2 linked regions of the Drosophila melanogaster genome follow. The protein of the gene in region 2 interacts with the protein of the main gene of each other region in a pairwise test. Each region holds a gene or a part of one and is shown on either strand. Other genes may lie near its edges. The genes, in order: rols and zormin.

Region 1 (16,496 bases), 9.9 Mb from region 2:
TACACTTATTAACACTTGTACCACTTGTGCATATTGTATTTGCTCTTCTTAGGTTTTGACTGATTGAGGTGCTGGACTGGATGAACTGTCCCTTATCGCGTTGTCAGTCCGAAATAGCAAACATAAAAGCCGGAGCAAGGGTATGGTGTATCCCTTCTTCAGGCTGAGCTACCTAATGACGCAAGCGTTCGTGCCTTTGGTGTCGCATTAACCCATGAAACACTATTCAGCAGGGGTTATCTGCCCGATAAGCCAGACGACACTTCTTGAGAGGGTATACACAAGGATATTGTCCCTCGAATTGGTGTCCGAGATTCGAGGATATTGCTTTCTAATTGAGTCATCATTCACACTTATTTTGGGCACCTATTAAGTACCCCACTTTCAGGCATCGTAAGTTAACAATTAAGTGGTTGTCAAAGGTCTAAAAGTGCTGTTTTCGATTCAAAAACAATCTACTACCCCAATTTATGTGCGACAGATTTATTCAACCGATTGGCTCGTATCTTGGCGAGCCCATTACCCATTTAAAGGTATTGTTGCAATGCTCCCAACATCATCAGCAATATCAGCTTGGTAATCAGCAATTCTGGTAGCTTTCGAGCCCATTAGCAATCACGCTGCTGTTGCCCAAGCCACAAACATTTCGATAAGCGAAAGCCGGACACTGTTTCAATTGCATTAGAATTAATCTACTCATTAGCAGGGGAAATCGACGAGCACGGGGCTCACATAATAGAATGCTACCGCTGGCAGTTGACATCGGTAATAGTTTGTAATCGCCCGAATGTTCCAAATCCCCACAGACCCTGGAGTCGATTTCATGTTGAGCCCCCCCTCAAATGAGCTAATACCTTTGACACAATCTTGATTAATGGTCGTCGATAAGGGGAGCGGGACGAGCTGGCAGTATAGGTTGGGACATCTGGCTAAAGTTTTTCTATAACTTGGTCAAGAAAATCTGTGCTGGGCAAAAACCCAGAAATGACATGTAATTGCAAGCGTTTCACTTGATAAGAAAGCCATAAATATGGTACCAGATTAGATTGTACTCCGAAAAAAAATAGATTTTTTTATAAATATAATATTTGGCTTCTTATATCACTGTTTTACATTGAATTCAACAAAAATTTAAATCAATTATATGAACTATGCTGTCATCCATAGATCTCCCCTTTTCCCTTTCATTATCGCAGGTCAAGAAACTATCTGACTGCAGAGTTCATCTCATAAATACTGAGAGAGCTATTTCGAATTCAGATTCAAGTGCAGCGTCGATTGTGGGAATTTGCCGACTCGCGTTTTATCGAACACAAAAAATGCATTCGAATTCGCCGGTGCGTGCGCGGGAATTTTATGAGGCTCGTATCTGAATCTGCGACTGGGTCGGAGTGCCGGGATTCATTCCAATAAATAGTTGGTCTGTCCGAGGAGTCCATGCTGTGCCCACGGGCAACAAAGTTGCATTTGCAACTGCGCTTGGCATCGAGCTTCAGTCGAAGTCCGTGCCGATTATCCGTCAGATGCAGATACAGTTGAGCTTGCCTAACAATAACCGTTCTTCTTACGTGAGATACTTTTTCTTCGAGAGTCAGTTTTTAAATTTCACAAATCACTGATTTGTGTTTTTTCTACATTAGTATTACTTTATAAGCTGATATGTTGTTTTTATTTTTTGTATCTTATGAAATTAAAGTAATGGATATGCACTGTACTTCCCAGCCGGTTTGGAGTTTGTTGTCCATTCATGGCAACTACCGTTCGGGTCTTTTGTTTGACTTTGTCTTGCGGCCGTCATTCCGCTTCTATTTGTAGATACAAGCCCCCAACAACTGCTCCATTCCCCATCCTCATCCATCCGCAATCCTCGCAGCCCCTTTCTTCGCCTCAGCGAATCTTTGTGTTTTGGGTTCTTCTGCAGAAGAGGTGCATATACCTGTTCGTAGACGCGTCTTCCAAGCGCTCTTCAGCTTTGGTTCGCCCACCGCGCTCGTTCTCGGCGCAATCTCAAGTGTTTTTTAAAAGTTTTCCAGCGATAAGCCATGTTACTTTATGGACCCATCCAGTCGCATATCCAATGCCTCGGCTGCTGCAGCTCCATCATCATCATCATCATCATCAACCATCCTAGTTCGCCATGGTCGTGTGCTGTGTTTCGCTTTGGTGTGATCATGATGTATATGATTCATGACTTTTCACTTTTCCGCACAAACACACACACACGCAGCACTCAGCCAAAGACGCAATGCTGCAGCACAATGGGTTTGGAATGGAAAATCTGTGAGAGTTATTAGAAACCTATAACTAACTAAAAAGCCATTTTGATTCGTTTTATTCAAAATATGAAAAGTCTGAGGTAGGTGATGATCAGCACTGCTTCTAGTTGCACCTTTTAACTTTTAAGCTCTTCTAGCTGAGAGTAGACAAGCTAGACCAGACTGACTGTCTGAATAAATTGAGTTCTATATATTTCTCGATTATTAGAAATATTAATTGAGAGCTAAAATATTTTTGAAATTATTCAAATTATTCAAATTTGTGTAGTGCTAACTGCATTAAAAATATTAAACAATTTTTGAATGTATCTCCTAAATATAAGAACGGCATTGAATATATTTTTTACTCTTAAGGCATTTTAAGTGAGATGATGATGCCCAAAATGGTTAAAAGCATTTTAATGGCCGCAGTTGGCGAAACCACCCACTATGCATAATTTGAGGCTGACACTTTTAACCCTTAGCATAAATTCTCATCAGCTTTGTGCCATTGGAGTGGCACGTAAATTACTGTGACATTGCACTTTGCAGCATCATTTGGCAATTTGTTGAGCACTTTTGTTGGACGCGCAGCTCTTTTTGTTTTTTTTTGTATGTGTGTGCCAGTTTATTGATTGGTTTTAAATTAAAATGGAAGTCAGCGGCGTGTGCATAAATCTTGGCCAATTTTCCTATTAGAAACTGTCAATGTCAGCGAGTTTTCACCCCGAGGATCTGTTCGATCGGCGACTCGGTCATATGCTAACCAAATGGAAGATGGATAAACGCGGTGAATATATCCATTTGGATGATTTATGACCCGGCCCGGCTTGTTAAACATCTGTGTGAAATGGGCAAAGTCCGGCCACTTGTTTGGCTTTCACTGGCTTTGTTTACTCTATTGCCAATCGAATTGTGTGCACTGAAACTCGTAATGCTCCAAAAACATTAAAAACCTATTAATAAATATACTTAAATGAAAATATATGGATATAGTTTATTTTCAGCTATTCAGAATGTATCTGCCAGATTCTGTGAAAGTTGTTTCTGAGCTAAACTTTATAGCTTGCCAACAATTAAGAGCCTTATGCTATAAACCTGTAGCTGCATTTTTCTGAGTGCATGTTAACTTCCCCACGGCCAATGGATGTTTGTTAGTTTTTCGGCCGAGGATATTGCTGATGATGTTGCACTTGAAGATTGGTGATGAAGGGGGACGCAGGAGACTCAGGAGACATCGGGGTCTTGGTGGCCCCTAGATACTTTTGGGGAAGGTGGATGTGGAAGTGGAAGTGCTGGGGGTCAGTGTTGCCGCCTCGCGGGCTGCCTTTCTAATGGCGAGCAGAGCGAAATGGGTCCGCTGCGAATGGGTCATTAAAACGGTGCGCCTGTTTGCATGTCCGGTAATGAAGGATTGTAAATGAGTTTAATGCCCTGCTGCCTTGATGGATGGATGGCCATTTCGGTTAAAAGAAATCATCACAGAGAAATCGACACAGTGATCAATAGCAAAACCGATCCTTGCTCACAATTTACAGGTAAATGAATCCGCATATAAATGAATTTATGGACTTCGCCTAAAGTTAAGGCTGCGGTTCTTGATTTAACGATTGTATTCGATCTTCTTTAAAACGTGTTATTAAAGTTATTCGCTGCTTATATTTATCGCTTATATATAGGCAATTTATCGTATATACCCGGTACTTACCACTTTCCGCTGCACTCAAGCACTTGGCGGCCATTTCCTCGTTGAGCTCCTCGGCGGGATTCCCATCGCCGGAGTCCAAAACACAGCTCACACTGGCAGATCCCCAGTCCAGCGCACTAACGCCATCGCTGGATATCATGGACAGATCCATTGGCGGCACTGAAGTTCCTCGCAAAGTGCTGGTTCCACTAATGCCACCACTGACCGAGTCGCCACCACCCAAGGATGAGTACTTGAGATCCAGCGAGGAGTTCATAGATCCGCCGTATAAGGAACTGGTGAGCGAGGCGCAGGTGGAGTCGAAACTCCGATTGCTGGCTCGTCGCTTTTCCGGCGTGGCATAAACGGGTTCCGCCTCCTTTCTGGGCGTGGCACACTCGGAGTAGCCCGGCGCTGCAGTTGAAGACACTTCGCTCGTCAACGAGCCATTCAGAGCTCCATAAACCGAGGTCATCATGATGTCATTCCGATTGAAGCTCGGCTGCCAGAAATCCTCCTCCACATTGCCAGAGTCGACAAGATCAGAGGATTCCTCCTCATCCTCGTCCTGCTCCTGCAACTGCTCCTCGGCCACGAGCTCATCCAGATAATCGGCCTCCAAAAGGCGCGATTCATCGATCATTGCGATCGTATCGTCCAGATTCTCCAATCCCCCATCCTCGCTACCCGACTCGTCCTGCTCCTCGTTGGCATTCAACTTCTGGAAGGTCTCGTCCGCCTGCTGCATCATATCGTAGGCATGTGGAATGGACGATCCGTGCAACGAGTCCGAGTCGTTCTCCTCGATGCAGGACAAGTGTCGGGTGCGAAAGCCATAGACGATTCCATTGGCCATCACCTTGGGCGGCGGGTTGATCGGCAGCGGCGGTGTCTGTAGCTCCGATTGGTCACCTTCCATCGCGAGCGCAATTTGCTGCAGCGAGGGCATACTGTAAAATATTTAAATATATTATTTTCATATTTAAAAGTATTTCAAAAATGGGGTTAATGCTTTTTTTATTTTTTTTAGCTTACGGTTAAAATACAATCTTAAAGTCAACAAGAAGTATGGCACTGTACATTTAAAAGTATCTTTGTATGGATTTGAGCTATAAAAGGTAATGCTTTCTTTGCATTTCTCCCCATTTACGAGCACCAGTAGCTTCTCTAAACACCACTGTACCTGACTAATGCCGCACATTAAACATAATTTGACATATGTAATTTTGGGGCTGTCTTGATTTTAACGGTCCTCCATGAAAACGCACTCGAATATGGGGATTTCCAGCGGAAATGAGTTCAGATCAGTTGAGCTAGCTAGGCAGATAAAAACACGGAGAAATACTTTGTCCCAATCTACAAAACTATCTTTTTAAACCAAATCTGATTTGTTACAATCTGATTTCTGTGCTGACTATCTGTATCTTTCCATATGAATTTAAATGTAATAAAAATGCAAAATAGCTATAGTTTGATTTCGGGCTTAGATCCTAAAATTGTAATTGTAAGTCTGTAATGGGCGGGCTTCTAGTTTAGAGTTCACTTTAGCTCGTGGCATGGATTTCTCTCAGTGTAGGTGCATCTTGAGGTGCGAGCTTGTGCTTGTGAGATAGCGATAAGCCGGGACAACTTTAATGCCACTTAATGCCCAGCGAACAGTGGGACGTGAAATTGTCCCAACATCAATCTTCGGCTCCAGCAGTTCCCACATGGAAGGAGGCAGCCCGGGGAAATGGGGCACATGGGGTACTGCGGTACATGGCAACTGCAGACATGCAGGGCACTGCGGAGCACACAGGAATGGAGACGGAAGTGTCCCCCAGGCGATAGACAACGAACTTCCCCTCGTTTTTATGGCCACATGCGCATCTCGCTCACATTTGGTGCGCGTGCGTATCTTTCTATCTTGTTCAAGTGTGAGGGTGCCCCCTGCAGCGATTCTGGTGTTTTCCTCAGCTGCTTCTTCCTCGGTGCAAGGAACTCGAAGTACAGTGGATCTTAAGTAACATGAAATCAAATATCAGAGGGTATAGTATGCACTTTCCAGGAATATTCGAACAATTACAATACCTATAATAGGTTTTAACTATGCGAGATTTTCTTAGAAATGAAAGTTGGGCTTAGCGAAGTTTGACTGTAGTTCTTTAGCAATGTCATCGGCCTCTTGACATATCCATCCCCCCTTCCTCTGCTCCCCCTAACTTTCCCCTCGACTAGGTGTTGCAATAGTTATTGTTGCTGCCGTTGGGTCCCCCATTCCATTATTTTAGATTCGCTGGGGAAAAACTAACGTTTGGCTTGTGCCACTGCCACCACAAGTTGCAAGTTGACTTTGGCAGTGCAAAGTTTTAAATAAACATTGCCATCGGTTGGTTTGCGGGCAAATTCGCTTTAGTCGGGGCTGAACTTGGTTTGCAGTTTGCTTAGGTTTGGCGATTATGCACTGCTATTTTTTAGTTTTTGCAGTTTTGTATTTAAGAAATATCTTTGAAAAGCGGCACAAAAATATTATGAATATCTATTAAAATGGTTTTGGAGCCATATAAGGTTAATATAGCTATATCTATCTAATGGCATATATGATTATATCATATTTACTATAGGGAAGTAACTTATATTAATAAATATATCTGATCAAATCATTATGCCTTCATTCTTCTGTCGTCTTTATAAATCTTACTTACATTTACTTATGTATATAGATTAGCTATTACATTTTTTTGCAGTGTAGATTTTCCACAAAACTAATGCAACAAACAAATTACTCTAGGCGACGAAAAACTACACATCCCTAAGCGGTACGAAAATAGATCGGCCAAACGATCGGCGGCGGAAAACTGGGGTTGGCGGCGCGCCGTGGTTGCATTTGTTGTATTTGTAGTTGTTTGTCGTGCGCCAAGGGGCGTGGCGCGAAGGGAGGGCGTGGGGATGCAGGGGGCTCTAGGATCCCCAGCAAACTGCATTAAACTACTTTCCGTGCAGTTTATTGCTTCGTCTGCGCGCGTTTCTACTTTTAGCTATGCCACGGCTGAGGTTGTGTGCGTGTGGAGTATCTGTGAGAGTCTTGAACTTGTGCTTCTTTCTTTCACTCTTTTTGTGTTGTTTACATCTTATTATTTTTTTTTTTTTTCATTTTTACACATTTTCGAGCCAATGGGCGCCCCATCGAACATGCGACATTTTTCAGTTGGTTCCCAATTTAAATTCAGCTGCCTTTGTTTCGGCTCGCCGCTCAAGACATTTCCACTTAAATGCCCTGGGATATGGTCACTGAACGATGCTCCCTTTTTAGGACCCGATCCGCCAGATCGGCGAGATATTGCGCATTCCACCAGATACTAGGCGACATCGAATTACTTGGGCATTACTCATTGCGCGATTATATTGAGCTTTTATAAAAAACTTATTCAGAAAGTTATATGAAATTCTTTGAGAAATGTACTAGGTAATAGTAAATTGAATGGATCTTTATGGATTTTTAAAGTCAAGCTGTTGTAGTTTCATATCCGCCAAATGATTGAAGTGCATTCATTTGAACTTTAATGATTTTAATAATCAAAAAAGTATGCTACAATATATGCGTATACATTTTTAATACAAACCTTTAATATCTTTTATAATTCCTCTGCTTGTACAAGATGATAAGTTCTAGTTGGAACAATCCTGGAATTTCAGTTTTCCCTTCCGTTTTTAAGATCTATCCGCACAGTGGATGTTTAACAATATATATTTTAGGAACTTTATGCAATCACGATTTAGGTTTTTCAATGGTAGTGCCACTTTTGTCAATATTCTTTCACATTCACTTTATCACTGATAATCCAATGTGGCAATTAATCCGATTGGCGCTGCTGTATCCGTATCTTGTGTCCGCCGTAACCGAATCCGTATCCGTACCGAACGCGCGCTGGAATGCAATTGAGACGAGCGGATTGCCGAGCTGACGGCAACTGCATCCGATGGATGCAATGGAATATCAGAAGTGAGGCAGCGCAGCCGCAACAGCGCCCTCGGCAACAGGAGGATATATACTATGCGTAGATGCTCAGATACATCCGTGCATTCGGATGTACGTGTATCTGCCCCAATGCTAACTAGACGAAGAAGCAAAGACGGCGCTAAAAATAGTCGCGGGTGCAGAACGTGAAGTCAGCGCCGGTCCATCACTTTTGTTAGATTCCGTTTCCAGAGCTGCGTTGCCCATTTGGACATTTTTCAGCCAAAAGTTGGAAAATCAAATAGTTCTCCAATCGTGCATAGAATTATTACATAATATTTTTAAATATTTTGCAAACTATAATTATACAGTTTATAAGTATTTAATTTTCTTTTATTATAGATTTAATTAACTTCATTTATCATATTATTTTAGCAACATTTACATTTCATTCTGAACATATCTGGCTTCGAAAGCAGACGTTGCGTCTGTTCTCGCTGCACCCCGCGAAGTGTTCTCGGTTTCTAATGGGATGTGCCCCATCTTTTCCCAAGAAAAGGGGGTGAGTGGGGGTGGACTCGAGCGGAGTGGAGTTTGGCAGCGAAACCAAAGTGTCGCTTGCTTGGTTGCCATTTAATTGCACTGCGATCTTGGCTGTCGGACTTTACTCTGTGTGTTTAGGGGAGTGGAATGGTCGAAGTATACCCCAAAAGTCTTAACATGGCAGAATTATGACTAAGTTTATATATCCAAATCGTTAGTGAAAGATGGGAACTGCAACTTTACAAAGCTCTAACGAGTTACATAAGTAACATTAATATGTTATATATGTACAATGATCAATAATAAGTTTTGAGATACATATGCATATGTAGGTTTAATTCCAATTTCAGGTATTTTCGATTTCCATTTATACATCAATTTTTAAATGTATTTTAAATTCACTGTTTCGTTTTATTATAAACAACTCGTAAATTGCAATGATGCAACACCTGTTGGAGTGATTAGCAAATGCTGTCATTGGCCACAGATTACATATTATTTTCTGCGTTGCTGCATTCTTTTCCAATTAGCCTAGATCCCGGTGACTGTACCTGGGAATCCAGAACCACCTAAACCACAACCCCAATAAGCAATCCTGAGCCGGAGTTCAATGCCCATAGGGTGAGATTTTCCAACGCAACGGCAACAAGTCTGCCGCGCAGGACGGGATACAATTGCAGTTCGTTCAACCCGGAGGCCAAGGATGAGCCGAGGTGAGCACATGGGGCTGGCATCCACGGATCTATGCGACGGAAATGGACTAATTTTTCATGTTTTGAAATTGGATGACAGCGACAGGAGGACACACTTCCCGCGAAGGCGGCGACGCATGCGCAGTACGGAACGGAGTTCGTCGACCTCGCGGATCGAAGATACAAGATGCATCCGTGTACTAAGTAGTTATAGTTACGCACGGATTGTATTACACGATAGATGAACGCTTCGCTGGAACTGCTGCGCTCAGGCGCTGGAATTTCGGTGATTTTTCCTAGCAACTGTTTCAATTTCTCGCTTTCCCCGTATTTATCTTTGCCCACTTTAATATCACTTCCACTTTCCACCGTGCGACTCCCATTCGTTCTCGTCCCCTTGGTGTTTGAATGATTTGTGACAAATGGTCGGCCTGCTCAAGAAATCCTCTTAATCTTGGAAGATTACTCGAGCACTCCACGTACTGATAAATTATTGTGGGAACCTCACATAAATTTTAGAGTTCATGAGGATTTGCGGCAATTGATCGCTTTTTGATCGGAATGCATAGAGAATATGCCTTTCTAATGTAGATATAAAAGCGCAGTGCTAAACTTCAATATCGTTTAAGTAAATTTTAAATTTGGATATTATTGATATGATGTGGAACATAAGCAGACTTGCGATATCGTATGTGGCGCCATTAAAGTGTGTATTCTGTTCGTTTATGGAACTACGACCATTGGTTGCTGACCTGGCTAATAAAGGGTTGTGTTTTGGCTGACGTGGACTAAAAACGAGGGTGGTTTAATCTTATTTGTATTGTGTATTCTTAATAGAGCTAATTGTATATTTATTAACATTTTTATGCCCATACACAGTATTCTGTTATAAACTTGACTCTACTTTGTATGCTCGATAAACTCTACGCCATGAACGGTATAACCATTTCCATCCATTTCTTTAGATCTTCCTGCGGACGTTCGCTATTTTCCAATCAATGGTAATTTTTAAAAAGTGAGTCAGCTTGGATATTTAAGTTTAGCTTAAGATTGTCTATTTGATCAATAAGCGAACGTAGAGCTGTTAAGCAAAATGAGCCGCATTATGTAGGGGCATGATTTAGAGCGCACACAGAACTTGTATCCTGGAAAGTGTCCTGGGTTCTGGCCACTCCAATAAAAATTAATGCATACAACAAATTTATAACACAATTTGTGCTTTAAGTAAAAGGGTATGCTAGCTTTCTTGAAAACCATGTAACGCGAAGCGTTATCAGGACACTAGCCGAGTCTATCTAACCATGTCAGTTTGTCCGTATGTCCTTCTGTCCGTCCGTATGCCTGTCCGTCCGTTAGTCCGTATGAATCGTATTCTTACCAGCTGGATAACTAAAATTTAGCATTCATCGTTAATTTCAATGGGAATCCAAGCAACTGTGTCGGTTAGTAAAACTGTATTTATTCAATTACATATCTTAAGGACTATTCTTAACATGATCGACTATGTCAGTTCGAATTCTATAAAATATGATAAGTTAAAGATATGTTCTGAAAATAAGTATATTTAATTTAGTTAAAGCAATGCTGCTTGCTTTAATTTTGTGAAATTTAACAAATTTGTTTAGACAATCATAAACGGTCAGTCTCGCTGGTTGGGCCATATCATAAGCTTACGCGATTTATACAACAATTTTTGATGGCAGTATCTACAATACTAAAAGCAAAAATAGAGATACGTTATCTGCACTCTGAAATTTAGGGAACCAACTAAAATACTTTTTGAACATAGCTGTGGGGAAATTTAGTGTGCTACATATTACATGCTATAACTACTTAATTCGATAACCAGCTAAATTAGCTTCAATAAACGACTCAATGTGAGTCAATCAAGGAACATTTTGCATCTGCATCGCTTTGGCGCAAAAATAAAACTTGTCTCTCTCGTTGTAACATTTCCATAGTCATTAGATGGCACTTTTGGATATCGAAGATCGCGGGTTTCCTTAGAACTTCTCGTCGTCGATATTACTGCGGCAATTGTTCAGTGCCGATTGTCGTTTGATCGTTCCGGATTCGCAGTCGATATACGTTTTGGCCAGAACTTTGGGCGTATTATTTTGGTGCATGTTGTTCCGATTGAGGGTGCCATTGCCGTTGCCCAAATTACTGGTCTTGGCCGGCATCCGGAAGCTGGACTGCCGTTTGGGTCGCTGATCGTAGTACTGCAAACAAATATAATATTTTATATTTAATAAATTATAAAAGTATTTTAACTTACATCCTTGGTGGGCAGACTGGAGTACTGATTGGGATAGGTGTCGAAACTGGCTGTTGTCGTCGTGGTTTTGTTTAATGCCTCCTCAGCACTTAACATGAATCGTTTCTTGGTGAATCTGTAGGTGGCCAGGCAACAGGCCACTGTGAAAAGCAGGCCAACGAAGATCACGATGGGTAGCGTGGCAGTCGAAGCAGTTTGGGTTTCTGCAAGTGTATTACATATGGATAAGAAAATGTTTTTCCATTCAAATGAATCAAAGCTTGACTTACCCTCGCACTCATTGGGCACACAGGCGGTCTTCTCGAACTCCGCACCACGGCACTCCATCGAACCGGGCTGCTCCACCAGGCAGCGGCGATGTCTCAGTCGGATGCCATCGCTGGAGCAGCTCGACCACTCGCTCCAAGCGCTCCAACCTAGGAAATCTAAGGAGAAATCAATTACATAGTTGGTTTTCTATGGAAAATGTTATGTATAATGATGACCCACCTTCGCATGGCACCATTTCACACTTCTGTTCTTCGAGTGCACGACCCTGACATAGCCGGTCGTGACCCGCTAGGCAACGACGTGTCCTCCGCCGTAGTCCCAATCCGCAGGTCACCGAGCAGGCAGACCACTCGGACCAGCAGCCCCATTCGCCGTGTTCCAACTCGTTATCCAGGCTATTACTACTTAGCTGTTCTTCCGCCGGGCAGGCGTGTATATTGCATACCCGACTCTGGCTTCCACGACCGCGGTGACGTTGCTGGACACCACCACCGCAACTGACGCTGCATGGTGACCAGTCCGCAGCATCGGAGTCCGCGGAGTCGTGATCAACCTGCCGCTGGCAGCTGCCATCAGCATGACAATTGCGCGACTCCTCCTTGGGCAGGCCAATTCGGACGGAACTCGGATCTGGACTGGTGGCACGACAGACGAACCTGAATCGCCTCTCCATGTGCGGTTCACTTGAATTTCCGCTCCCGGTCACCGTTAGCCACGGTGTCCAGGCACTGAGTTTGCGCACCTCCTGACAGCTCTGCATGTTGCACTCCTCATAGTCCAGCCGACAGCCCGGGCACTCCATTCCGCCATTGAGTGGAGCCGGATCGTTGCACTCACGTCGTCGCATTCGGAAACCACCGCCGCACTGGGCACTGCACTCACTCCACTCGCCCCACGGTCCCCATCCGCCATCCACGGACTGCGGCTTGGCCACCGGGCACGGTGGCAAGTGGCGGCAGTACATCTCCGACTGCTCCGATCCCACACAGGTGCGACCGCCGAATGCCGGACGCGGATTTCCACAGGTGCGTCGTCGGATCTTCACGGCAATGCCGCAGGTCTGGGAGCAGGGCGACCATGCTGACCACTCCGTCCATCCTCCGTGCTGCGTGCAGTTCGTCACTTGGGTGCTGAAATAAAGGAAATATAATTACAATAGGTTCCTTACTGCCTCTTTATAATTAAATTAATTTGTATACTGCTATATTGGTTTAACAAATTATACAAATTGTACACACCTGATGCCCTCGCAGGTGGCACCTCCATGTTGTGGCTGAGGATTGTTGCAACTGCGCTGTCGGCACTGGCAATTGCTATCCGGCTGCTCGTGCTGCTGGCAAACGGCCCATGGACTCCAGGTAGACCAACCGCCATCGATGGGGGCATTTAGTACAGGACAGGTGATCTGTGGCGCCTGATGCCAGTGTTGCAGTACAGAGGAATCCTGTGGCTGTGGCATGCAGCGCTCCACCAGTTCGTTCCAGCCGCAGTAGGGATCCATGGAGTTCAGACAACTTGACTGCGACACATGGCGACTGCAGTGCTGGGCGGGAATCCGGGTGAGCGCCAGATCGGTGCCCAGATAGAGGGAATCACTGACTTTCAGATAGGCCATATTCAGTAGGCTACTAGTACCAGTATCGTCCGCCTGCCAAAGTTCCACCAGACATGTCTGAACTCCATCGCCATCGTACTTTACGGACAATTTCTTTATGTGATTCCCACTGCTGGCCACGAAGAGCACGTGCACTTGCTCCGTCTTTGTGTTTATGATGTCCAACGCCAGGCGGCCGAATTGTTCCAGTTTGGAGTGGTACAATGGCTCTGCTCCAATTGGCTGCACTGCCTCATCCATCAGTTGGTAACGTGAGCTCTCCAGCCAGTGGCCAATACTACTCGTTCCGCACTGGAACTGACTCCGCTGATTCGTGTTGACCGTTTTCCAGGCCGCATCCGAGTGCTCCTGCTGCTTAAAGGGTCCATCGAAGGCTGCGTTAATGGAGCTCAGGTTGTAGGCACAAACAGCTGATCCAAATATGCTGGATCTATAGGTTTACGAAATAAGGAAAATGATGAGTTTTAGTCAAGTTAAAAGATATAGAAGTTGCAGAATACTTACCCCGACGTTCTGAAGGTGGCATAGAGAATGGATTCGGATTCGGCATACGTCATGCCTTGGATCTCATCGAAATAATAAGGATATTCGCCAGGCAGTGAGCAATTGAGACGAGCCTTCAGAAACGATGTCCAATTGTCCCTTAGCAACTGACCACCACCGCCCACATCATTCTTGCACACCCTAGCAACTCTGGAGTATATCACCTGAAAGTGCATTAATCTCTTAGCTTGAAATAGAATTTGTATGAATTTAATGTAATCACTCACCTTGCCACAACTCATGTGCTCGGCGGCCGATTCGCGTAGCAGAAAATATACAAAGTGGCCAGCCTCGAAGCTTCCCACGAATTGGGCTCCACTCAGCCAGTTGTTATTATATTGCTTGGTGCGGAGGAAACGCTGAAAATTGGATAATAGAACCATTAGAAGTGTGGGCAGGGGTGTGGCCTAACTACGCCAGCATATGGATCTTACTCAAATGCATTTTATTGTTAAAATGAATTAAGAATCAGCATGTCTATTTGTTAAAAAAAAACAGTCAAGTTAACAATGATTTTGTCCAGTTACATTTGTTTCGGTGCTTTAAAAATGCACATAACTCATACGCCGTGTGGGCTTACAAAAAATCAGATTCTTTAAAATAAACTTTTACGTTGAATTTATAGAAAATAACTACGAATTTGGTTATATAAATAAGGAAAATTGTAAAACTCTGCTTAAGTGATAATTTTTTATATATTTTTTACAAATATTACTCATCCGCAGTGTGTGATCGTTTCAGATACCCACCTTATTGGACTCCACTCCTGTTCGCAGGATGGCCACATCGCTGCCCGAGAAATCAGTGGCGGTGCCCACAAAGAGTTGCCCATTGGACTGCAGCAGACTGGTGCTGTTCGCCTGCGGATGAAATGGACACTTGACCACGCCGCTGTCCACGCCGGTGACTGTGAGGTTCTCCATCTGCAAGAAGCACCAAGGGTTGGGGTAAATGGCGCGTCAGACTGGCGACTCCAAAGAATTGGACACGAATTGGTCGACATGGGCGACTTGGACGACCACTCACCTGGCGCCACGAACAGCTCGGCTGGAAGGCGTTCGTCCCACACGCGTACAGCTGGTTCTCACCGTAGCTGTGGAGCACGCGCACATAGTTGCGACACCATCGCTCCGACTGGCCTTTTGCCTGGCACATGGCGATCTCCGATGGCGTGGCCCCCCAGCTGGCCCGCTCCAGCGGCTCCAGGTCGAAAGACATGCGGTACAGGGTGTCCCTGCAAGGAAAATCGAATGTATTCAATTATTCAGTCAAATCAGTTCAATGTGCATATTACTATGTTGAAGTAAGTGGAGCATACTTATTAGATCAATTCTCTTCTCTTTAACATCAAGTAATATTATGATATGATTCTTATAGCACAAATTGAACTACACTTTCTAGCAAATACTATTGCACTTAAAATCCAAAAAGGACTCAGATTTTTTTCCGATTTGATTGCAGTGTATGACCGTTGAAAGGCGACCGATTGGCCAGCAATAACAGTTAGAGAGGCGGCCCACAATTGTTTACAAATAAGGCTGACTCCGGCTCCAGCTTCAATTGCCACCCCTCCGCACTCCCCCCTGACCAACAGCTGTCATAATTTTGAACTGGTTGGCCGCCAGTGCATTGAACTGCAAGGCAAACAGGTAACAAAACTTGGCTCCGCCACAGTGGTACCCACATGCAGTGGATTTTAGCATTCTAAAACTCATGCAAAACTATTGTGGGCGAAGGCTGAGCACTAAACATTACATATGAGCTGAATTCATAAAATGGTAATAAATTTAGCAAGTATAAGAATAATATTTTATATCATTGTTTTTCTAACAAACGTATTTTATTCGCAATATGTATTTGTGTAATTTGCAGTATTTTCTATATATTACTAATTTTTTTCATTTAAGTAATTTTGTAAGTTACTACTGTAGCCCGCTAATTTTACCAATTATTCTAACACAACCACTGTGCTACGCGCTTTTGGCGAAACGAACACGAAGATCAATAGATCAAGTGCAACCATTTCGAATGCTCGAGAAGCAATTGCTAAATGGTTACATCTCGACTTGGACAGCCGCATTTTTTCCAGCTAAGAGGTGGCTTTGGATGGCGATTGGGATTCAGTTTGGAATGGAATGGAGAACTGTGAACAGAGATCGGAATCGGAGAATGCCGCCGTGCTTGGGCTTTAGAAGGAATGCCGCCGACCAGACGTCGCCAAAGATCCGAGCGAAAAAAAAAGAGATCACTGCCCACAGTCCGGCCATCTAATGGTCACTTGCGGCTGTTTAGCGGCCTTAGGATATAAATTGAATGCTGAGTTGCGCAGAGCAAGTACACTCGAAGAAATTAGCATATTAATCTGCAAAAAATAACTCTCGAATGCTGTAACTTAACTGCAGGCATTTAAACACGAATCGTATGACTATACAAGAAACTAAATATGAACTTGCTTATATTCTTGCAAAATAAACAACTCTGAATAGCCATTCGTTAATTTTTTTCTCAGTGCAGATACTTGATCGTCAGCCAGATCGCCCAATATCAATCATTTGGATTGCAGCTGGCGCAAGGCGCGTGGCACATCAGCCCCCGTGCAGTTGTAACTCAGGTGAATATGTATCTATACAAATATATGTGCGTATATATGTATACCGCTCAGGTGTAACTCGAGCT
Region 2 (16,372 bases):
TGTACGTATAAAGCATAAAATAAACCATTATGCATATGGTCGGGGCGCCTCACAACTTCCCTTCCCCACAAATATGCATACGTCACTCATTGCGAAATTGAATCGTATTTCAAGTGGCACACGAACACGCACCCAGCCGTTAAGATTCGTAATATGCATTTGGACATTTAGACGCGTCTTCGCCCGGCACTTGTGCAGCTCCACATGGCGGAAGTGCTCCAAGATCGTGGCCAAGTCGGAGTGGGAGTGGGAGTGGGAGTGGGAGTGGGAGTGCTATGCCCCCATCCACAGACCAGACAATGACGGCGATGATATAATGCCGAAAGACCCAACGGCGGTTCAAAACAATAACACCCTGGAATGGAATGCACGCGGTGGAAAGACGACCATCGAAATACCCTTTCCAATCTTGAAATTTATCCCAAATCCATCCAAATTGTGTTAGTTCTGTCATATGGAACATCATGTGTATGATCTGCCATTTGGTTGTCATTTGAATTCACTAATGGGATAAATCATTCATTGAATGATTACCCCTGCATTTGAAAGCTGGTTAGGGTATCTACCACTGATTCTACCAAAGCCGGATAGAATGATTTAGGGCAGAAGGATGGCGGGAGGGGCAACAAGCGTCCTCTTCGAGGCGCTTAGCGTGAAACACGTTTTTGGCTTTTAAATTAATACTTTGCGGAGCGGATAGAACACGATTTCGATATGAAATTACCTCGATGCTGTGGCCGTTGTTGTTGCTGCCATCGTTTTGTATGAAATCATTGCGCATTTTTATAGAGCGCCGGCCTTCTCGGCTCTTTCATTACGGCCATTGGCTACGATATCCCAAATATTTAATTGGGAATCGCAATTTGCGAAGGCGTTGGCTTGTTGTACCTGATTTATTTGACCAGATTGCCACATGTAAGATGTGTAGCATCCTTTTCAAGAGGAATTACTTACAAATCCTGGTGATTTCTAATAAATTGCTTATGAAGTTTTCATCTTTATTTAAGCTTGTTCAGTTTCTTCAGCTGTTTAGTTATTTGAATACATTGACCAAAATTCGATGAGTTCTGACTTAAATATAGATTTGAAAGCGAACATTTCATCATCGCAAAAGTTCAGCAGCCAGCCTTGACCCAAAATCCAATGTCTCTCTCGTCTGGCCATTAATATGCAATTTAGGTACATTTACGCATCGCATGTTTGTTTGGCTTTTTGCAACAATTTCATTTTGTGGCTGTGCTGGCGAGTGCTCCCATAAAGGTGAGCTAATTGAATACAAATTGAAATTGGCTAATTAAAGCGACATAAATCAAATGCTCGCGAGTGTTTGTTCTGCTCCTGATCAAACATAGGCCACAGTGGCCATAAAAAGTGTGTATAAACAGACTAATAAAAAACCGCATCAATATTCGTGTGTGTGTGTGTGTGTGTGTGAGCGGTTTGATGGAGAGCAAACAGCATTAATGTATTGTACAAATACCCATATGCAAATGAATTTACTGAATCTACTTCGGTGTTTTGTGGATAGCACGCTCTGACGCGTTTACCCTGTGCCTCCATTAAACCCAACTTGATTTTGTCATAAAACAAAAAACAGTATTCAGCTATTTTGTTATTGTTCACTTAGCAGAGGTTCAGCTTTTGTGCCGCGATCATCAGCTGTGTGTGGCCGAGTGATGTCAGACTTTTTGGGTTCTATAAATACCAGCGAACATAAAACAATTTCTGTTCAGGTTTTTGTGGGTCGCACTTTCCCAGGCCGACGGCGAATTATGAGCACACGTATTGGGCAATCTCGTTGCTGCCATCGAATGCAATTTAAATTTCAATTTAATTCGCGGCCAACAAAAAAGATAATTTCTATAATTGTTTCTACAAATTATTGGCCACGACTCACTCGCATCTACCATCCGCAGCATCTGCAGCGGCAACATCTCGATGGCTGTTGCGCCTTTCCAGTTGCAGCAGCAGGAGTCGCCTGCAACGCGCGACTTTCATTGAACGTTTATCGGCGACTATCAGTTGCCATGTAAACATGCAATATATTTCGCGTCTCTAACTTGAAAACCACCGAGCCGTCGCTTCCACTCCGGTAATTACAGCAGCTGGATCCCCTACAGTGGACCGCCGGAAAGCGAAAATTGCGGGGTATCTTCTGCTTTGAAACTATCCCATGAAATTGAACGTGTATGCCTCTATTGAGTCGATGCAAGAATTTTGCATTTAGCAGAGCGATCAACAGCGATAATGGGATAATAATTGGTTAAATACAAAGTATGGTTTTAAATCGCATCGTACTATATGAGATACGCATATGCTGAGAGCTCACTGTATACTTTGGCGTTGCAAATGTATGCTTCTCCTCGTGGAAAACCCCCCCCTTTTGCATAATTTTCCACGAGCCGCTTTCCTTGCTTATCAATCAGTGCGTGCCAAACTGTTTTGTCAGTTGCGCTACGTAGCAGCTGCACTAAAGCCACCGATTGACGGCATATCCCCAGCCGGCTTTCGAGTGGATCCCGATCCTCCTGCCCCCATCCGATGAGCAGACCCATCCGAATCGCAAAACACCTAGCCAAACCCAAGAGGCAAAGAGACAGCGGACTGCGTCTGCGCATAGAATACATTATTTTTAGCGTTTTAAAGCGTTGACGACGCTTTTGGTGTTGGATACTGTCAGTTAGGGCTGGAATTTTTCAATTACTGATAAGATTTACGGCCAATTCCCGTGACACGCCATCGGGCAAATGAAGAAGTGCCATCGAAAGCACAGTATGCATATATTTTCGTAGGCCTGCATTAGGCGTGGACTTAAATCTTTTTTTTTATGGTTGTAACCAGATTAGATTAAAACATCTTATTAAAGCTAGTGCGCAATTGCTATAAGCTAAAATAAAATGTGCAAGAAAAAAGCTTTTGTTCAGACTCCGAATAGTTACTTCAAAAAGAGAATTGATTTAGCAAAAACTGACAAAATTTCAAACCAGAAAGTGACAAGAGCGCCCTTGCCGTTCGCCTCGAAACAGCGATCATAAATCACAGTGACAAATCGCAATCACGTGACTGAATGGCAGCTCTAAACGCGACCAAGTCGCAGTTTCTGGCAAAATGGGATACCCTGACGACTCTGTGCAGAGCGGGCGGAATGCGCAGCTTTTCATGCGTAAATTTATGTGCCTGCCAAGCGTCGTAAACATTTCTTTCTTTTGAGCCTTGGTGCGGCTTTCTATCGCCCGTCTCTTTCGCTGCACGTGATGCCATCTCTTTCGTCCATTAGACAGTGCGCACTGCGCAGCTGCGGCGTTTCACCCACGCCGAAGGCCCAAGGCAATGGCACATACATATACAATACATACATGGCTCGTACAGTGCCGGGCATAAGTATATGCTCATATATCTGGCCAATTTATGAGTGAAATGCTGCGACTTTTACAAATGAAAACGCCATAAATTCAATTAGAGTTTTACGTCTTACTCCTCCCGTGGCGCCTCCTCTTGTGCAAATCAGAGCAAATCGCACCAAAAGTCCGATTCGATGCGATTCGAGATTGCGCAGACCCAAGATCTGGAATCGAAAATCCAAAGCAGGTCGACAGTCGCGCCCCAATTGCTTCATTATGGCCAAAGCAAAGGCTCAAATTAGTTTCGCGCATTAGATTCAATTAAAAGAGATCTTCAGCATTCGTGGCACGCCTCGCATTTTCAACGAAAAGCGGAAAATCTATTTATTTAGAGAGAGTTTAGCTAGGCAAACATGTAAATCTTGTGCCTTTGAAGTTTCTTTTTCCAGTTTGCTTCAGCCTTTTAATTGCCTTGAAGCTAATTTTTCATTCGCGAGCCAGAAGAACATAAAAAGAAACGTTTTGTAACCAGGCCCAAAAAATTTTTCCCTCATTTCAAACACTTGTAAATATTTTCGTGTTGCATCAACAAACATTGTAATCGAAATTTGCGTCAGAGCCAAAACCGAATCATCATCCATTGAGATTGATGCCCGGATGGCCGAGAAGTTGAATCGTCTTGGTTAATTAGCTCTGGGTGGGGCTCGTCCAAGAAGTTGATAGGTTTCCTTGGTGGATATGTAAATCATGTCAGGGCGATTTTAATACAAGATGATTTGGGTTGCCCATGGAGATAAAGATCCAATTAAACGCTCTGCCGACAGACAACGTACTTCGTTGTATCTTCGTGGAACTTACCACATGTCTTAGACATTTCTTTCAACGGAATATCTTCAACTGTTTTTCACAGGCAAATAAATGTCATTTAAGTAGTCACCACAGAATCGCATTGTGCCACTAAAAACTTGGTAGATATTCATATTTTCTTCCAGCACTTAACATTCAAAATCTTAATAACTCAACTTTGTTGTGAGTTGTGGAGTATGGGTACACAGAAAGAAAAGTAAAGTTCTAAGGTCTCATAATTTTAAATTGGTAAAAATGAATATCCGCATTACAGATAGTATTGTTTAAAAATAGTAGCAAAACTATCCTTGCCAAGATTTAATACTTAAATACAATTTCTTGCCACTTGAAATTTCTTTCTGTTTAGAATAAACTAACTGAAAGAATTGTCTGTTGTCTGTTTCGAAAAATAAACCCAGAAAGGAAGGAAACTTTTGACATATTTGCATAGTTTTAAGCTACGAGCCGCGGGACGAAGGGGGTTCTGCCAACTTATTGTTTCCTTAATCTTATGCTGAAGCACAAAGTTTAAAGAACTTCCGCCGCCTTTCTTCCCCTAGAAAAAAATCTCCCACCGCCCACGTGGAATTTATAACAATAATAATAAGGAGCTGAGCTCATCGAACATTTTTTAGCTCATACATTTGTTTCATTTTGTGTGTGTTTGTTGCACATCTGTTGGCTTTTATTGTGGAATATTGTGTATTTATTTGTACACTTTTGTTATTCTTATTTCAGCTTTTTTTTTGGCTCTGTTCCGTTGCTAATTTGTTTACCTGCGAGAACCGGGGAGAGAAATCGCTCTTGTTTATTTTCAACAGCATTTTTGGGACCAGTTCGAGAATAACGAAAACAACGACAGGTAAGCAATTATTTAGTTTCGTTTTTGAATTTCAATACTGTTTCCAAGCAGGCCAGCGGAAATTTAAAGAAATCTGTATATTTTTGGGGTCGCGAGTTTTCAATTCATGGAAACACGAGTACACGTATACAACAGAAACGTGTTGAAAGGCTCGTCAGTAAAATGTTTTTGCATAATTTTCAGAATCAAAAGTGGAGGGGGGAAAAAGTTGTAAATCAAATCAAATGTTTAACACATGGAGCCGTGAGTCTCGAATGGCATATGAAGCAAAAATAGTTATTCTGATGGCCAGCAAAAAAAAAAAAAAAATGGCACAAAGTGGCACACCGAAATTTCAATGATCCGTTGGTTGAATGAACAGAAAAGGTGGTGCAAAAAGGGGCACAGTCCCCTTGCCCCTTGCCGCAAAAGCCCATAAACCATTCACCGATGCCCATAATTATTGAATGTTTTTTGTTTCGGGGCATAAAACTTGTAGCGCTTCATCAGAAATGTTTCTCAATCTCAAGTTCAAGTCGCATCTTCAAGTTCGAGCGATTTGGAGGGGTTGGAAAAGGGGGCAAATCTGCGGAGAAGACCCAAACAAAGTTTCTCTCTGAAGAAACTGATTCTGCCAGCTCGAAATGGACCCAGACAGGTAGCAGCTGCGCCTAATTGTCGAAAGTATCTGGCAGATACATTTCTTTTTGTCACGTTTAGTTGGCTTTTGTGTCTTTGCTCTGATGTCAGACAACCTTGAACCTTTTGTGGCGTTTGTTTTTCTGCTGCCGTTTTTCAAATATTTATAACCGCTATCAACAACTTTTGCTTTCGTTGTTCGAGTGCTAATTGGCGCGGAAATCGCTGGAAGCCGGTTTAAACAATCGAAAATTGTAAGCCAGTTTTGGGCATTAGAAGTTCATGAATTTTTCAGTGCTAAAGTCACATAGTTTTGCCTCAGATCCGAAGGGGCTAGCTATGGGATAATTATAGAAATTTATCAATTAATGTCGACCGATTGGTAGTGAACATTTGCTTGGTTGGAGGCTGGGCCATTTAATAATAGTCGAACGTTGTTTTATAGTGATAAATTGATTGAAAAATGATTTGATAACAATCTGAGATAATGTATCTATTGAACTATTTTCTTTGCTTTACATCTCTCAGACTGTTTTTGCCCCACTACGCAAAATGAAAAAAATGTAAATATATAATTGCACTGTCATTAATAATGAACAAAGATTATGTCGTCATTCAAATGATAAGCTCATTTATATTGAAAAAAAAGGTTAATATATTTAGACTGGCTTAATTGGTTGTTATGGATTTTTATAGCTTCACATAAAACTGAGTCGAATGCAACTTTTTTCATAAGATGTTTCAATGACCACAGCTTATCCTAGATGTTTCCCCGTGTTTTCGAAACCTGACTGCACTTCTAGATTTATGATTTATTCAAGATCTCCCAATGCCCCGTCCCAAATCTCTTTTGAAGTCCTCCCAGATCGCCTTCCGCATAAATTTCCGCGCACTTCAAGAGCTTTCTCCGAACACTTCTCCCGTATCTAGATAAATGTTTCTTCATGTTTGTTTCCCATTTCTTGGCCTTTTTGCTGTGTGTTTTTTGTTTGGATTCGTTTCGTTTTTTAGTTTACTATTTTTATTGTTTGCGGGGTACAAGAGTACAACTCACTTGTAGGAGCGCTATCACCAGCTGGATGGGTCCGCATCGGACGACAACGGTGCCAATGGTGGTGGCTCTCAGGGAGGAGGAGGATGGTGGTGTGGTGTGGGTGGTGCCGGTGCCGGTGCCCGTGCCCGTGGACATGGCTGTGGACATGGCCTGACTTGGAGTCGGCGACGATGATGACATTGTTGCTGAATAATTGAAGGCGTCTAGCTGGGACTGCTGAGATTGCTGGGATTGCTGCGTCTGAAGTTGGTGGCCGGTGTGCGGCTGGCGGGGATTGGGATTCGAGGAGGAGGCGACCGAGTAGAGCGAAGACATCGATGAGTCTAGGGCTTGGCGGCGTTCCATGGTTGCTTTTCTTTCTATCTGCTCGTCTCTACTTCTCTCTGTTTTCTTTTTTTTTGACTAACTTTCGAGGATTGAGTGAGTGCTTGTAGTTTGGTGTGTTTTGCGTGGGCGTTTTATAATCTCTGTCGTTTAGTTTTTCTCGTATTTTGGCTTACTTCCCCTGCTTGTGTCTCGTGTTTTGCATTTTGAACTCTGCTCGAAAAAGTGGAACTATTAGATTGAGTCACTCGCGTTCGGATTTAATTTATTGGGATTAGTTATAGCCAGGGGATTCGATTCGGCGGTTCCTTCGTTTCGTTGCGAGCGCTATCAACGCCGGCGATCGTCTGAGAACCTCCGCGAATCGGTAGATTTTCGAAACGGAGAATTCTTTTTGCCCGCCGCGATGACTATGACTTCATACTCGCGCTCTCCCTGTCGCTCTAGTGTCTGTTTATTATTCCGTAGTGTCTATATATACGGCTATATAGCCGAGAGAATCGTGTGTACTTTTTGCATATTGAGCCTGAGAAAATTGCCTTTGATGCGTGTGCTAGTCTCGTTGTAGAACCTCGGTAGCCCCCCGCCCCGCCAAAACTCAAAGACAATGCTCGATTCGCGTTTATTTTTAAAACAACAAACTATTGAGTAATTTTTTGCGGCGATTTCTGCCACGAAGCTAAACTGTTGTTCTAGCCCAGATACTCAGATACTGCGATGCTACAGATACAGGCTACTATAGCTAATAGATAAAGCGCGCGGATGTTCGTCAAATCTGTAACATGTGCCAATTGCATTGGCAGAAGTCGTCGCCAGTCAGTCATTTTTCATGGATTTTTCGATATTTTTGAATACATTACGCATACGCCGCGTATGCTCGTGTGCAGCCAGCTGCCTCCATTAGGTAATTTTTGGTGTTTCTCTCAATTTTTAATAGTCGCCGCCGTTGCTGGCGTAATGTAAACTATTTTAATTGTACTTTGCGCTGTCTAAAAATAAGCAGCAAACCAAAAATTGGGAAGAACAAGTTCCCTTTATAAAAGTTTACAGTAGCGCAATCGAGGAAATGCTTTGCCTCCATATGTTGTTGTCCAAAAAATTTAAAAGAAAAAAAAATGGAAAATTGTTGATTGAAATTTTCTGGGGCGTGGACTGTTGTAGTATATTGAAATATGCACATGACTCAAACAAATAAGCTTTCAATGCATCAGGTCACCGAATATTTTTGAAAAATATTTTTTTCGCGCATTCTGTGTCGTTTTCTATTTGTTAAACATTTTGTTTGTGCTTTCTGAGGGTCGTCACAAAACTGAATATTCGACAACAACAATAAATTTAGCACAGATTGTTGATTTCATCTTTAGACGAGTGAACGCAAAAAAAACTAGCGCCAAGCATTTTTGAATGTCAAAAATGTTCTAGGTAAATTATGGCTGATTAATTTACGTTTCATTTCGCTTTTTTTTTGAAGTGCCAAATTTATTGTTTTCTTCCTCGTTTTCTGCCTAACTTAATTTACATAGATATGTTTTTATTCGCACATTATATTCGAGCGGTGGAGATGTGGAAAATCAAAACGCGCGCGCCGCTTTCCCAACAGCCGAACAACCGAACGCCGCGAACTTCGAACAAGACTGACTAAATGATCGGAAGACTGAAGACCGGAGACCGAAGACTGAGCAGATTCTACGGGAGACAGCCGATCAGAAAGAGATAAAGAGCGTGCAGCCCATGAAACTTAACCGATTCGCTCAATTCATTCATGCAGGTAGCGGTTCTCTTGTTTTGATCTCTTGACACTGGCTAAGCTCAGTTTTGAAAAGCCGGCTTGTATTTTGAAAATGAGAGAGTGTGAAAGAGAGGGCTGGAGACGCTAGACGCTAGAGAAAGAGGCAAGATGCGGGGCTTCAGGGGAGACGACATAAATAAACAAGTGCTCTTGGCATTCGCGGCGTCGTTAATTCATGATTTCAATTTTTAATGCCCTGCGCCCGGCTTTTCAGCAATTACAATACGAAGAGAAGGTAAAGCGATATGAAGCGAGCTTGTACCCTGTAATTCTGATGATAAAGGGTAACTTTAAGCGAACTGTTGCTACCCTCTTATGCCCTCACTTTATTTATTCGCATTTACTTTTGAATATTCATCTAACTTAACATCTTATGTGTGGATGATTTTTCCCCTTGGCTAGACCTTTTCCTCGTTGGTCTTATACACCCCATATAAGACGAGGTACCTTAAACCACAACATATTCAAGTGCAGCTTTTGTACTTTAATAACATGGTGAAGAGTGGAAGATCAAAATAACAACACCAGAGCAGCGGAGGAAACCAGACGATATCGTGTCTTAATGCAAGGCAAACTGACTGACCGCCCGCATTTAAATCCCCTCACCACCCATGATGCTCTATACCCCAATTTATGAAGTATTTTTCACCCAAAATGCGTGTCTTGCAGCTTTGGCTTTGGCTCCGGATTTCGTGCAATATTCAACGTGCAACATCCGACGCTTCTTGCGTGCAACAGCAGTTGCGGCAATCAATGCGCTGCAGATGTGTGTTATTATTTTTCGCTATCAACGATTCGAACTTATCGAATTATGCTTTCAGCGCCGGCACGTCAGAAAATCTGGTCGAATGGCATGAAAAGAATCTCATAGATATTTGGTTCGCCTTTCTGGATGATCAGCTCGTTAAGTATAAACTCTTTTCACTCACTCACCACACTCAGAGCGATTTATTTATATGTTTTTTAATTGAGATTAATGAGCCACTTGACGAAGCTCACAAAAGCAGCCAACCCCTCTTAACCCCATTTCCCCGCTGCACCCACTGCCAGTTCACATTTCAGATAATTGAAATCACTTGAGGACCACTTGTTAAATGTTTGGGGGAAAGGGCCACCCACAGAGGGAAATTGAAAAAAATTATTTAGGGTGGAAAAGTCCAAAAGAGCACTCAAGGGTTAAGTGCAGATGATGGCAATGACTTTTCACGGATGCAGCCCAAAGTTATGCAATGTTTTCATGGATTTTCGAGATTACATTCAAATTTTGCAGTTACGAGTTACTTACTTGCTTAAGCATAAAATTTAAAACTAAATACCTGAAAAGTTAGGAGGTATTGAAAAAAATTATAAATGATTAGCTTTATTTTTGGGGTAAAACATGTTCGATATTAATTGCACTATGTTTTGTGACTGTGACTGTGTGGGAGAAATAGTTATAAATAAATATTAAACATATGATTAATGGCAAAAATTTCGACTGGCCGTAAGTGAATTTAAATTCTTACTTTAAATATATTTTCTAACCATTTGGGAATTCTCTAATTTTTGCAAGCCTTAGACTTAATTTGAACTAACTAAATAAATATTTCTACTACTATATTTAAAGCAGAGAAAGTATAAGCAAAAGACATTTTTCAAACATAAAATATTTAAAAACCTTTTGCGCAGGCATTTTAGTATATCTTTTAAGCTAAAGTTCAATCGAACTAATAAATTTTGGTAGAAAACAGTGAACAATCATGCAAAGTAAAATGGCAAACAAAATAAAAAAGACAAAAACTTTTAGCTCATGGGCTAAAATTGGTTTTGGGAAAACAGCAAAAATAGTATGCCAACTAATTAATGGCAAGAATGTCGAGGATCGGCAGAGAAGCAAATGGCGCTGGTTAATTGGGCGGGAAATCGTTTTGTGTTCATCTTTCAACTGGGACAGCTTGTCCAGATCTCTCAGAGAAATCCCTTGATCGTCTGTTTCGTTATGTTCTCGTAGTATTTGCTGCGTCGCCAAGAAGGCGGCGGTTTCGATTCGTTGGGGTTAGTTGAAGCCGGAGCGGTGTTATTGGCCGATGTGTAGCTCACCTCCGGCGTGTGGGCGTTGGACATCCTGGGCGCCAGCTCCGTCGTAATGCCAGTGGCCAAATTGAATCCTTCCACCTCGCTGTCCGATTCGATGGCCTGCGGCAATGGTAGTGGCAGAAGCAGGTGTTGCTGCTCCTCGTCCGGAGTGGGCGTTACACTCTGACTATGCAGCTCTGCCATGCCCGCCACACTGTCCTGATCTTCACTTTTCATCCTCTGCTGACGGTCGGAGAAGTAGCTCATTTCGGAGCTATCAAAGGACATATTGACTGGCGAAGGTGGTAGTTCGGGTATTTCGAATGTGCTTAAAGTTGAGTCGTCCGCCTCATCGAAGGAGTTCTTGGCCGATCCTATGTAGGAGCTAGTGCGTCCTGAGGCTGTTTGAAAGGATGAGGAATGCGAGTTCGGCGTAAAGTTGCCTTCGGAGGCAGTGGCGAAGGATTCGTCCTCGGTGGAGCGCGATTGCCAATCCTAAAGCGACGAGATTAGTACCATTTTACACAAACGGAAAAAGAATCAACATTTTTATTATTTAAACTTACCTCAATGCTTCCCAATTTTTTTATGCCATGTCCTCCAGTGACATTGCTGATTCCATTGCTAACAACGCCCTCCTGCTGCTGGACATCCCGGATGACTGCGTCCAGGGACTCGGCTACCTCGGCAATGGCTCCCAGCTTGTGGGAAATGGCGGCGCAGGCCAGTTCGTTGCTGCCTGTGGGCACCACTTGCACAGTAGCTGGCAGGGTTTCCACGGGTATCTCGCTTCCAGCACTGCTGGTCCTTCCACTGTCATGGAGTGGACTTGGTGCAGTGCAATCCAGGGGTAGTTCATCGGCCACGACACTAAAATCACCAGAGAGACGGGGATTATCGGGAGCTCCGGAATCCACTGAGGCAGTGCGTGAGTGCGATGGTGTTTCATTGTCGGTATAGTCGCTATGCGGATATGTTTCACTGTCGTTGCGGATGAGGGCCTTGATCTTGTCCAGACTCTTTAGCGGCGGACCCGAATCCACCTCATCCTCCTCCTCTTCGGTTTCCTCCAAGATAATATCCCTTTCTATTGAGGCCTTGGCTATTTTGGTCTTGACACTTGAAGTACTGGCTGTCTCATCATCGTCTTCATCCTCGTAGTCCTCATCTTCACCTTGGCCATCTTCGCTGCTTAGTTCGGGTAGCTTACTGGCCTCATTGATAGCGTCCAAAAGTCGACTTAGATCGCTGGAGGATTCACTTAGGATCTCAGGGGGGCTCTGTACCAAATCCTCCTCTTCGCTGGCCAAAGGAGCAGAGGCATTAGCCTGATAAGCAGCTTCATCCAGGGATTTATTTTCACCTTCCTCAACCGGAATCTCCACCTCATTGGGCGGTTCATCCACCACAATGCTGGGCACTTCCGGCCTGGGTCCAACCTCCTGCTCCACTTCCTCATCGCCCTTTGATTTGGCAAACAAATTACGAAATCTGGCAAACATTTTGAGCTTTTTTGGGTTCGCTGCCTAGTTGGCGCCTCTTTTTTTTTGTTTTTTTTTTTTTTTTTTTTGGGCGTGGAACAATTAGTTTGACGTAAGGGGCAGCAACACGCGTTTGGCTAGTGGCCAGTTGAAGTGAGCTACGTCTCTCTGATAATTGTAGATTCAATTATTCACTTTGCCGGGATAAGCATGCAGATATTTCGAGAGTGGAACCATGAAGACACTTCTATATTTATCACCTTCCTATCACAATGCTCCCCGCTGTGACCCACTTGTCACGCCTGTTCTCCAGCAAATTCACTCTTTATCTGATATGTGCTCTATACATACATATATGCTTTGACAAACCGACAGTTTTCTTGAGTTTTCCCGCTCCGTGCCGAAAAACGGAAAACAGAAAGGAGGACCGAACGACAACCGCACTGGACCACGCACTGAAATAGACTGCTTGGATTTGGACGCCGAATCTTGGACGGAATGAGCTGCTATATAGAATAGTTCTTTTATTTTATTTCAATATTTTTTTTGTGCTTCTTTCGAATTTTGGGTGGTGGAACTTTTGAGTGCGTCGCGGCAGCTTGACATTTGTTTCATTCAGTCAAAAATTATTTTTGGCTGTCTAGTTTGTGGTTACTTGGGAAGTGTGGTTCGGTTTGATGGACTTCGAATTGCTTTTATATGACTATAATTTTTTTTGATAGCGAACAAGTTATATTTGATTTAATACATTTGGTAGGTGTTGTACACGTGTTAATGGCTTTTGAAGAAATCGTTTTATTTGTCGTAGGGCAGGATGTTAATATATTCAGGCTTGTATGGGATATTTATCTCAATAATAAACTTTCTGACTCAGGTTTTATTTACAGCATTGAGTTCATAAATGAAGTCTGTTTTTTAAAACCTGATTATCATGATTTTTATATTTTTATTGCCAAGTTGCCTTTGTACTTTGTTTTCCAAATACAATTTATCATTTCTTTTAGTTTTATTTCTAGCAACTTGTTAGTTCTTTGCTCTTTTTCTAAGTTAATTTGCCGCGAACTCGTGGGGATTTTAGTGGAAATCTTTCTCATTTTTATTTGATATGCAGAACGTTTTGCAGTTTTTGTTTCTGAGTTTTATGCGTTGAGCATAATGAAGTAGCCGCCGATACAAAGTTAAAGTCCATGCACTCACGCACCTGCAAAAGTATTATAGATTTTTAGTCGCTATAACTCACCTCTTTCCTGTTAATGCGTCCAGAACGAAGGGCTCTTTGAGACGCTTCTTCAGCAATCTTCCCAGTCTGACCATTCTGCCCACTTCGACGAGCAGTTGCTCCCTGGCCACCAAGTGCCTCTGTAGTCGCGGAGGCATCTCCCCCAATGGAGACAGCTCCGATTCCAATTCTGCCTCGGCATCGCTACCTATTCCACTGCTGCTGCGGTTGTGCTGCTGTCTTTGCTGCTGCTGTAGTTGGGCGGACAGTTCCTTGGTCAAAAGGGGTCGAAGTTCCCTCAACTGGCGGTAATAGGCCTCCACACTGCGGTGGAAAACGGCGGAGACGCGCAGTCTGGTCATTTGCTCCTGGGCCACAGACTGTAGGCTGTGCCACGTGTGCTGCAGTTCGTCACTAATGAAACCCTGACTGGAATTGCTTTGTGACCTAAATGATGATGGTTCCAGTTTGCAGCAGAGGCGCAGCGTTTGGGAAGCCTCCAGCAATTGGCAGCCATAGTGGTAGATGCTCTAAAGCAGAAAGCATAATTAGTACATATATGCAAAAATTTTAAAATCAGAGGATAATTTTATCAATATCCTAGCAATATGTAGATAGTTTTTAATAAATATGATACAGCTAGATAGAAACCTTGGCCAAACAGTCACTCCCCGTCTCTGTCTTGCAGTCTGGATGGATTCCCTCCATCTTATTTCCCCCCCAAAAAAATGAAGTCGCCCGAAAAACGGGGGAAAACTCACCCGTCCGGTTTCCTCGAACCCCTGCAGCTCATCCTTCTGCAGCTGAATCTCGTGGATGTTGCAGCCGACATGGGAGTGGCAGCGCAGCAAGACGGCATACAACTCCTGCAGCCAGTCCCGCGCCCTCCGCGCGTCCTCCTCGTAGGCGTGGATGTGGGTCACCTGCTCCAAGGTGAGCCGCTGCAGCGCTAGCCGATGTCCGCACACCTGACGACGACGCCGGCTCTCGTCGATCTGCCGGCGCAGCTGGGCGATCTCGGCACTGTAGTCCAGCTGGAGGTCACGGCCCAGAGCGTCTTTCACTGGCATGGCCAGCATGTCGCTCAGCTTTTCACCTTCACGCACAAGTTCGCGCTCGACGTGGCCTGTGGATGTTGGAAACATGTTTAGAGATCGGTTGGATGTTGGATATAGCATGTTTAGAGATTTGTTGTTTACGGCTCGAGTTCGGACAGACCTAAATATACAACTATGATTTTATTAAAATGTATATTATTTCAAATGATACGATTATTTAAGCTAATTAGGAACGGTTCCATGCTAGAAAGAGTATTGGTTCGATGTATACTATTTGAGTTGCAGCCAAATCATGCTGTGTTCGATCTCAAAAGATCGAGTTCCAGCAGATGTTTTGAATGCGTTCATATTAACCTTCTATTCATTTAAATTTGAAAGCGTGACACTTGTTGAAAGTATTTGGTATGATTTTTTTGTTCAGAATACTTTTTTGTCATATCCATGGTAATTATCAGAGCAATTCTAGCTTATTTCAAGGTTCGCTGGCTATATTTCGAGTGTAGTTGTCAAGGCTGCATAAATATTTCTTTAGCAATATACAAAATTACACTTGTTTGTTAATATTTTTAAACTCACCCAACATTTCCTGGTTTTTATTGAGCTGCATGAGTAACTGCTCTGCCTCGGGCCAGTCAAGCGATCGACTGTCCACCTCCACCACATGGTTACCGGTGGCCAGTAAATCCTCAAATTGATCGAGGAGGCGATGGAACCTCAGGGCGGTCATCAGTACATTTCTTCGTCGCTCCAATCGCTTTGCAAAGGAGCGACACACAAACTGCATGAAGTCTCGCTGCGAAAGAAGATCCTGGCATCGGTCCATGTCCTTTGAAGATGCCTGCCTTTCAGCGGCAAACTTTTCGATCTTGTAGAGCAACTCCGCATAGCAACCGTAGGTTTCCCGGCACTCCAGTTCCAGTTGGTCGTGAGCAGAACGTAGTGCCTCACATCCCCTAACATCACCTGCAACGCTCCTTTGGCGACTGAGTAACAGCTCGGCCTCCTGCAGGATCCAATTGGTGACGAAGGACACTCCATCCTCCAAAGTGCTGAGTTCGCGTGCCTCCCTCAGAGATCGGAGCAGTTCCAGCCATGCAGTCCGGATGGCCGTCTGCTTCTTTTCGATCTCATTCAATCGCAACTCGATGCGGGTGCGTTCACAGGCGAGATCGGGTGGCAGGAGGGGCTTCTGGGGGGAACCTGCACTGGCGGAGTGGGCAGCGATGGGCGGGGGACCCGCAGGGGACTCCGAGGCAGGTGCGACCGCTTGTGGCGGCGGTGAATGCGTCTCGTAGACCTCGTTGAAGCGGGCCAAGATCGCGTTACCTGAACAATGCCGACATGCAAAGAGAAAAGGGAAAGGGGATGAGAAAATGGCACTCTGAAAAATAATCTATACCTGCAAAACATTTTCTATTCCCAATCACTTATTTAATACATTCTTGACTGGAATTGGTGAAGACATAAAATAAATATTTCCTTAGAATTTTAGAACATCAATCATCGTATTTCTCGGAGTGTATTTTTGGGCTTTCATTGCGCGGGGATCGGATCTAGCGCTATTCACACATCCACAAAAGTGAAAACTCACGCCCGGAGTGGTTTTTTAATCCCAGTCTAGCTCTTTGGACTGTGGCATGTGCCACCATTTCGATGCGCATCACCGATTTTTGTGGCTGTAAGTGAAAGGTCACGATTGTTGCTGTTGCTTTGGTTGTCGTTTTG

The links.
Region 1: the proteins of zormin (region 2) and rols interact in a two-hybrid assay, tested with the Drosophila melanogaster proteins (one study listed by BioGRID).

The regions. Positions count from the first base shown.
Region 1 is NT_037436.4:12,057,018-12,073,513, forward strand, and holds the start of rols (rolling pebbles), read right to left. Parts: upstream 7,843-16,496; 5' UTR 7,545-7,842; intron 4,893-7,544; 5' UTR 4,892-4,892; coding exon 3,964-4,891; intron 1-3,963. Other genes in the region: Sema5c (semaphorin 5c), read right to left, coding at 11,118-11,336, 11,393-11,595, 11,662-11,817, 11,882-12,792, 12,901-13,707, 13,782-13,984, 14,048-14,179, 14,570-14,743 and 1 more.
Region 2 is NT_037436.4:2,143,024-2,159,395, forward strand, and holds the start of zormin (zormin), read right to left. Parts: upstream 8,678-16,372; 5' UTR 8,587-8,677; intron 7,259-8,586; 5' UTR 7,067-7,258; coding exon 6,722-7,066; intron 1-6,721. Other genes in the region: CG15822 (uncharacterized protein), read right to left, coding at 10,782-11,384, 11,456-12,380, 13,611-14,119, 14,351-14,715, 15,224-15,973.